2 linked regions of the Mus musculus genome follow. The protein of the gene in region 2 purifies or fractionates together with the protein of the main gene of each other region. This does not show direct contact. Links are inferred from orthologs where the notes say so. Each region holds a gene or a part of one and is shown on either strand. Other genes may lie near its edges.

Region 1 (4,139 bases), on a different chromosome or scaffold from region 2:
AATTGCTTGCAAGCCCTAGGTGAGCCCTTTGCCCATTCGCCTGCAGAAAGGGTGTGTGATGGCTGGACAGGACACAGCTGATGGTTAACGTTTGGAGCTGGCTGGCCTAGGCTGAAGCTGGCCAGTTGACTGCAGAGGGCATTTGGGCTATTACTTGGAAATGCCCACTGCACATGTAGTGGTAGAGGTTGTTTTGGGGGCTCCTTTTTTTCTCTCAGACCTGTAACCCCTCCCCCTGAAAAGACATGTTTTATTTTCTCTTTGCTGTTAGCTACTAAGGATTTTCTCTCTCAGTTTAGAAAGCTTTAGTCCTTGTCAGCTTAGTTCACAAAAAAAGGTCTGTATTTCTTGGAAGGCAATAAACAAACAAACAAAAAACTATTGTTTTTTTTCTTTAATTTTTTTCTTAGTTTATATTTATTGTATGTAATGATGGATAAGATTCAAGCACATAATTTTCTTTTAACATGTGTGTGCCTCTTCCCCCAACATTAGCTTCACTCTTTTTCCCAGATAGTCATACTTTTATTTTCTTATCATCTATGTGTTAACTCATATATAAAGGCATTTCTACACACACACACACACACACACACACACACCCCTAGATCCACATATGAGGGAAACTTGTCTGAGTAAGGTTTACTTATGTGTATACAATCCCACAATCTTTGTCTTTTCCCCATGTGTGTGACTTTATGTGTATATGTAAAGCAGGCTCCACACTAGGAGAAAAACATACTTTTTTTTTTTTTTAAAGTCCGAGTCTGGTTTATTTTACTTCCTATGATGAGGATTCTCAACCCAGTCCACTAGCGATGTGCTCCGCGTTGGCTTCTGCACACCGTTCCCCTGGCCCGCCGCTTCGGGAAAGCGTAAGCCGCAATGGCACTTTGATTTTCCTACGTCCCGGGGCAGCCCCGGGGTCCGCAGCTCCACCTGGCTCGGCGGCCGGGCGCACAAAGAGCGGCGCGGGCGGCGACGGGCCGGGACGCAGAAAGTAGTCCCGACCACGCCGGCCCCAGTGTCGGCCGACGTCGCCTCACGCCCTCCGCCGCCCGGGGAAAGAATCCCATCGGAATGCGCCTCGGGAAGACCTTATCCCCGCAGCGTGCGGGGGCTCGCGAGGCTCAACCCGCGGGGGCTCTCCGGGGAGTCGGCGCGCGCGGCGGTCGCGGCTCCCGGGGTCCGGCCGCGGCGCGCTGAGGACGGGGGTGGGGGGAGTCGGGCGCGCAGGGAGACGGCGGCGGCCCCGCGGCGGATCCCTGCGCCGCTGCGAGAGGAAGAGGCTGAATGAGGCGCCGCGCGGGGGACGTGGGGCGCCGCGGGAGGAGGCGGCGGCATGGGGGCAGGCGCTGGCGTCGCGCGAGCCCGGGCCGGAGCGGCGCGCTAGAGCCCTGACGTGCGCCCTTTTCTTTCTTCTCGCGGCCGCGGAAAGCATGAGCGTGCAGACCCGCCGCTGCGGCGGCCGCCCCGGCTCCTCGCCCGCGCGTCCCCTGGCCGCCGGGCGCCGGTGAGGGCCGCGAGCGCGCGCGGTGGTGGGGGGAAGATGGGGGCCGTGCTGAGGAGCCTCCTGGCCTGCAGCTTCTGCGTGCTGCTGAGAGGTGAGGCGAAGCGAGGCGAGGCCGGGGGAAAAGTTGCCGGGGTCCCGGGAGGGGGAGGGGAGGTGGCGGGGACAGCGGCGGGGACAGAGGCCTGGCGCTGGGGAGCCGCGCGAGGAAGGGGCCCGCGGTCGGGGGCCGCGCCCGGCCGCCGCGCACACCCCTGGCCGGCCCCGCGGCGCCGCCGGACAAAGCTGCGGGCCTCGGGGGGACCCCTGGCCCCCCGCACTCCATCGGAATGACTGACGGTGCCCGGCTCGCCTGCACTCGGGGCAGAAAGGGGCTTTTGTAGTTGCGCTTTCAGCACCATTGGTGTTGACCTCCCTCTCCCTCGAAGCCTGAGCTCACCTTTCCCGTGTCTCTTAGGTGAACTTTTTTCTTCTTCTTTAAACCCCACTATTTTTTTTTTCCTTCTCCCCTCTCTAGGCCTTGTTACAACTAATAATTGTCTTCCGCGGGGATAGAATGGTCCTGGGTGAGAGCACAGTTGGAAATTGACTCTAGGGTGATAGGTCGCGCTTTTCAGCATTCGGGATCATCTGAGCCCATAATAAAAACACAAACGTTGCCCTCGTAACCCCTGGTATTCAGGACTCGCCCCCTGTTTGCGGAGTGTGCAAGTGTACAGTTGGCACCAAGTAGGGAAGTCATCCTTGTGTGGCGAGGAGCCTATCCTGGGAACTAAATTATCATTTGCTGGGCACCCCTGGGAACTGCTTGGCACTTTAGTAAATAACAGAGAATGCCCTGGGTAATTTGCTATGGGAATCGCTTAAACGTAGTGGCTCTGTGGTGTTTTGAATTTGGACTGTGAGGCTGAGACGTACGTCCTGACTTTTTGTTGTGTGACAGTTTGCAATGGAAACCTTGTCGACTGGTCTTCAGTTGATGAGCGATGGGGGCTGGTGCCATGGAGAGTGTTGCCTGTGCAAGAATTGAGGTGCTGTTTGACGCCGTATCTTGTTGTTCGCTTTTGTTAACTTACCTGTGCCAGTTAATGGGACCTCTCTGGGATTCTTAGTTATTAATTTAACAAGCTCAACGTTTAAGTCCGTCAGAAGTATGGAAGTTTGCAAAGTAGGATAGTAACTAACAATCTTATGATGTAAATGGGACAGCCTATCATCTATGCATGTGTGTATTTGAATAAGACTATTTGCCTTAAAACCCCCCCACCATTTTCTAAAAATAAGCGTATCCCGAATTGTCTAGTCCTTTTTGCAAATACCAGAAAGATAATTGCTGTTTTAATTTCCATGGCAGAGAACTCAATGTTATTACTCAAGAGATTTAATAATCAAGTGTTTATTTTGTTATAGTAAACTCTACATTGAAAGATTTTGCTGTAGCTGTGAGAAAGTTGTTATTAACATGTGAATATGATTGACAAGTTCATAAGAGTTAAAATGTAGAACTAGTGGATTGATTTAGAGTTGGGAAAGTCTAAATCTGTGACTTCTGATGGCTTTAGCGCCTGAAAGTCCAGCTGCCATTCTTAGAGGGGACATAGGACTGTTTGTTTATTTTGATAACAGGTTTGAGCCTAGAGTTGAGTAGATTCATGCATGAGTTTGGTTTAGAGATGGTGAAGCATGATATTGTGTGTAACAAGATCAAGAAGAGGTAACTGTCCGAAGTGGAGCTTATTTAAATGTAATACAATAATGCTAAGGAGGTCTTTGTTTTTCTGTTTAGCATTATTTAATTGTGAGCATATATCATTCCAACTGAAACTGTCTTTTTGGTGTAAACGATTCCTAATTTAAAGTTTCTTCACTTCTTGGCACTGTTAGCCTCTGTTATAAGTGACAGTCACCCTTGGTTTCCCAGGAGCAAAGTGTGATTTAATTACTTGTAGTTCCCAGAAGAGGTGGTACTTTTACTTTGGGTTTGTGATGATGTGTGACTTTGGGACTTTGTACCTTATAGCCTTGTTTACTCACCAGCAGTTGAAGGTCATTTAATACTGCCATCGCTAGGCTGCACCCTGTCCTAGTTACCAAGTGACAAAGAATATTGGGAAAAACTTGAAAGTTGAGGATTTTAGCACCATAGACTTGAGTTTAAAGCTAGATCTTCATTATTTCTGCTTCTGGTTCTCTCTGTCTCAGCTTATCTATAAAACATGGGTAATAATACCTGTCTGGCTGATTTGCAAGGGTTATTAGGTGTGTTTAATGAAGTAACATAGGAGTGCTTTCCAAATATTAATTAAAAAGTTTTAAAGACAGGATCTTTCTATGCTGCCCAGGCTGACCTCCAAGTGCAACTCAACTCTTCTCCTTTCCCAACCTCCTGAGTGTGGGGGTCACAGGCATGCCTCCCCATATATGGCTATAAATAGTGTTATTTTTATATGTGAAAATTTTTTTTTATTATTTATGGATGTGTCCTCAATTGTTGGTGATTAGAGATTTAATTTGTTTAAGATTCAAGAGTGCTTAAAGTAGATGATATTGTTGTCATTTGTAAGAAGTTGGGGCACAAAAAAAAAGTTGGGGCACTCTCTGTCAGCTAGTTCATTGTAGAGCAGGGCTT
Region 2 (3,643 bases):
ACCACAACCCGTTTCTAATTTTTCATCTATGGGTATTTTGCTTACACGTGTGTCCGTGTGCTATGTGATTGCAGTATCTCCAGAGGCCAGAAGACACCATCAGATCTCCTGGGACTGGAGTTATAGAGGTTGTGAGCTGCCATGTTGAACCAAGCAGGTCACTGAGGGACACAGGCATGTGGATGGAAACCCTGCTGGGAGAAAAAAGAAACTGCTGAAGGTAACTTTTTTTTTGTCACTATTGATGCTGGGTCCCCATGTCCCCAGCCTGAGAGTCAGCTTAGAAGATCTCTCTCCAGCACCTCCAGGGACAAGCATCCTTTGTTTGAGGGTGTATCTCAGACTTATCCCCATCCAGGCTCCTCCATCCAGGCCCCTCCATCATGGCCGCTTTGTGATGGCCTGTAGTGACCCTGTTCTGGATTTTTTAGGTCCCTACTTCCAGTGTCTCCTGAGTCATCTCTCCAGAAGATCTTGTCACAGTGATTGCCACCCACAACTTTGTCAACTGTTACCCCCCCCCATTATTGCCAGGGCCTCTGCAGATAGAGATCTTCCCCACCCTCAGGGCCTCTACACCTCCATCTTCCCCACCCCAGAGCCGCCTTGTGCACCTGCCGAAGAGCCACCTTTGCTTCTGTCTCTCAGGGCCGGGGTGCTCAGCTAGCATAACTGACGCCCTGCATTCAATCCCCTGAGCCCCAAAAGAAGAGAGCCTAAATATCTTGTTATTGCTAGATTAGGGTTTGAGACCAGGATCTTGCACATGCTGGAAACTCCATCACCAGCTTGTTCAGGGGCTTTTGGGTAACTTCCAAGGAGCACCCTAACATGTCAGCTAGCTGCAGGAGTCCCCTGTCTGCCTACACCCTTGTCTTTATTCTATCCCAGTCCGGCAAATACATATTTTGCTTATGTTTCACTAAACGTTCAGGCTATCGATTGAGTGTGGCCGAAAAAGACCAGACCTGGTCTGGATGAGCTTACTTTTAGCCTGTAATGAAGAATAACGTTTATGAGAGTCGCTCACATTTGCGGGTTCATCACACAAGCCTGCAAGTGACCCCGAAGCTGACTGAACCCATGAGTGGGTGTGGCCGCCTCCAGCCCGCCAGAGGCATCTGAGTGGAAATCCAAGCAGACAATGGTGCTTGCTACTCATTGTCTCCTGTTCTGTTGTAGGGACTGACATGGGACAGCAACATGGAACCAGGAATGGTCTCACGCATAGAGAGCTCCCCCGGGGCGTGGGGCTGCTGCTCGCCATGGCCCTTATGAACGTGGCGCTCTACCTCTGCCTTGATCAGCTTTTCATCTCCCCTGGACGATCCACCGCGGACTCTAGGCGCTGTCCTCCGGGCTACTTCAGAATGGGGCGGATGAGAAACTGCTCACGCTGGCTGTCCTGTGAAGAGCTGAGGACAGAAGTCAGGCAGCTGAAGCGCGTTGGGGAGGGAGCCGTGAAGAGAGTGAGTATTCCTGCTTGCTGCCATTGGCTGGAAGAGCCGCGCCTGCGCCTGCGCGTGCTGCGGGCAGCAGCATCGCTGGAAGAACGATGTGGCACCTGTTGCTGTACCTGGGCGTCTCAGGCAAGATGGCTGGTGGCAGGACTTTGAGGCCAACCAGGGCAGCAGAGTGAAACACTGGCTTAAAAGCAAATAGGAGAGAGCCGAAGGCCCTGTGTGTCGGTTCTTGAGCCCAGTGTTCTCAGATCTAGAACTCTGGTAGGGCTAAACCATCTGGAGGAACGGTGCCAGGTGTGTAAGTGCACTATCCTATGAGAGGCTGGAAATGATACTTTTAGGAGAGAGGCCAGGATTATAGTTCAGTTGAAAGAACGCTCGCCCCCCAACCCCCTAAAAAAAGCCGAGCGTGGTAGCGCAGGTCTTTAATCCCAGCACTCGGGAGGCAGAGGCAGGCGGATTTCTGAGTTTGAGGACAGCCAGGGCTACACAGAGAAACCCTGTCTCGAAACACAACCCCCCCCCCAAAAAAAAAAAAAAAAAAAAAAGAACGTGTGCTTCAGGGCCATTTTTGGCTATGTGGGGAATTTAAGGCTAGCCTGGGTTATAGGAGATCTTGTCCAAAAATACATATTTTCAGAAACACTATTTATTTATTATATTTTATTTATTTTATATGAGTTTATTATCTGTAACTGTTAGGTGTAGGTCGGGACTCCAGTTGGTTTCAGGAAGAAAATTCCAGGGTTGTAAGTTAATAATAAAATAAAAATTGTGGTACCTAGTGGTAGAATATACTGTCTTCAGTTGCCAGGTTTTCTAGTTCTGGGAGAAAACACAAGCAGGGTAGACAGCGTATAGAGTTAGGGCTCTGAGCCTTCAGGCCAGCACAGCAGGCCTCGGTGATGCTCTCCTGCTCTGAGACTGGACACTCACCTTTTCAGACACTCACCCTTTACCTTAGCTAATGGTCTCATGTGTTCTGAGTTAGGAGGACAGAGGGCTCCTCAGAGAGCATCCTCATCTTCTCCCTGTGCAGTCAATCTGCACAGCTCCCTGCACACATGGCTTATAGAGTGGTTCTCACCCCGCCCTTCATTCCTGGCGGGACACGAATAAGCACACATCACAGAAAGAAGTCTGTTGTCTTGACTGCCCAGCCCTCCGCAGCTGCCACCCTCTGTCTCTGTCTCTGTCTCTGTCACGGGAGAGCTCCGCTAACCCCCTCTACCTCCTGGGCTCTCTGTCACTGTCATCCTTCCCCTGTGTGACCTCCACATGCCAGGAAGCTGCTTTTAATCGATGTCACCAGCTGAGTACAAGCTGAAGACAGCCTTCCTCTTCCTTAGTCTTCGCAGCCAGCGAGCCTGGACTCAGTTGTTTCTTGCCCTTGGACTCTGGTTTTCTGGGCGTGGCCACAGGCTTCTCATCTGCAGCCCTCACTTCTGTTGGCAGTCCTTTCCTGACTTCTCTTCCCTCGTCTCAACCATAGACGACCACTTCTCCACCCACAGCAGTTTTGAGGGAGATAGCAATGTGTGCAGACACTCGTGGTTGTCACTCCTGGACGGTGGAGCTGTTACTGGCATTCAGTGTTACTGGCATTCAGTGCCAGTGTTGCCAGACTCCTTATACCACACAGGACAGGCCTGTCCCTCAATGCATAGCTGTCTGGACCGAACACAGCCGTGTTCGTGAGACTGAGAGAGCATCTTTCTGTGTCTCTAGATATAATCTAGCATCTAGACCTAGTTGAATTTTACTGCGTCAGTTTATTTGTTTGTGTTTGTTTTTTCAGGACAGGATTTCTCTGTGTAGCCCTGGCTGTCCTGAAACTCGCTCTGGAGACCAGGCTGGCCTTGGATTCAAAGATTTACCTACCTCTCCCCCCTGAATGCTGGGATTAAAAGTGTGTGCTACTGCCGCCGCCACCCAACTCTGTTGCTTTTATGTATTTAACAAACTCCCTCTAGCCTCTGTCCCTGAGTCCTAGGTCCACACAATCAACTGTTTATTTGATGTCTCTATTTGGGGTTCTCTGAACATGTCCGTATGTCCTGTGTGGAACTCTTGTTTGTTGTCCTTTTAAATTTGAGTTTCACTTTATAGCCCAGACTGTTCAAATTCATCATCCTCCTGCCTCTACTTCTTGAGTTTGGCGATTACAAGTTTGTGTCACT

Evidence for each region. The genes of interacting proteins can lie anywhere in the genome.
Region 1: the proteins of Pomk (region 2) and Lrp6 purify together in Homo sapiens (affinity purification with mass spectrometry; 3 studies listed by BioGRID and IntAct, counting the BioPlex papers as one, with this or other methods). This does not show direct contact. The link is inferred for Mus musculus from reciprocal best matches to the Homo sapiens genes POMK and LRP6.

Annotation. Positions count from the first base shown.
Region 1 is NC_000072.6:134,564,108-134,568,246, reverse strand, and holds the start of Lrp6 (low-density lipoprotein receptor-related protein 6 precursor), read left to right. Parts: upstream 1-1,333; 5' UTR 1,334-1,549; coding exon 1,550-1,604; intron 1,605-4,139. UniProt on the Homo sapiens protein: Component of the Wnt-Fzd-LRP5-LRP6 complex that triggers beta-catenin signaling through inducing aggregation of receptor-ligand complexes into ribosome-sized signalosomes.
Region 2 is NC_000074.6:25,984,072-25,987,714, reverse strand, and holds part of Pomk (protein O-mannose kinase), read left to right. Parts: intron 1-74; 5' UTR 75-220; intron 221-1,182; 5' UTR 1,183-1,190; coding exon 1,191-1,469; intron 1,470-3,643. UniProt on the Homo sapiens protein: Protein O-mannose kinase that specifically mediates phosphorylation at the 6-position of an O-mannose of the trisaccharide (N-acetylgalactosamine (GalNAc)-beta-1,3-N-acetylglucosamine (GlcNAc)-beta-1,4-mannose) to generate phosphorylated O-mannosyl trisaccharide (N-acetylgalactosamine-beta-1,3-N-acetylglucosamine-beta-1,4-(phosphate-6-)mannose).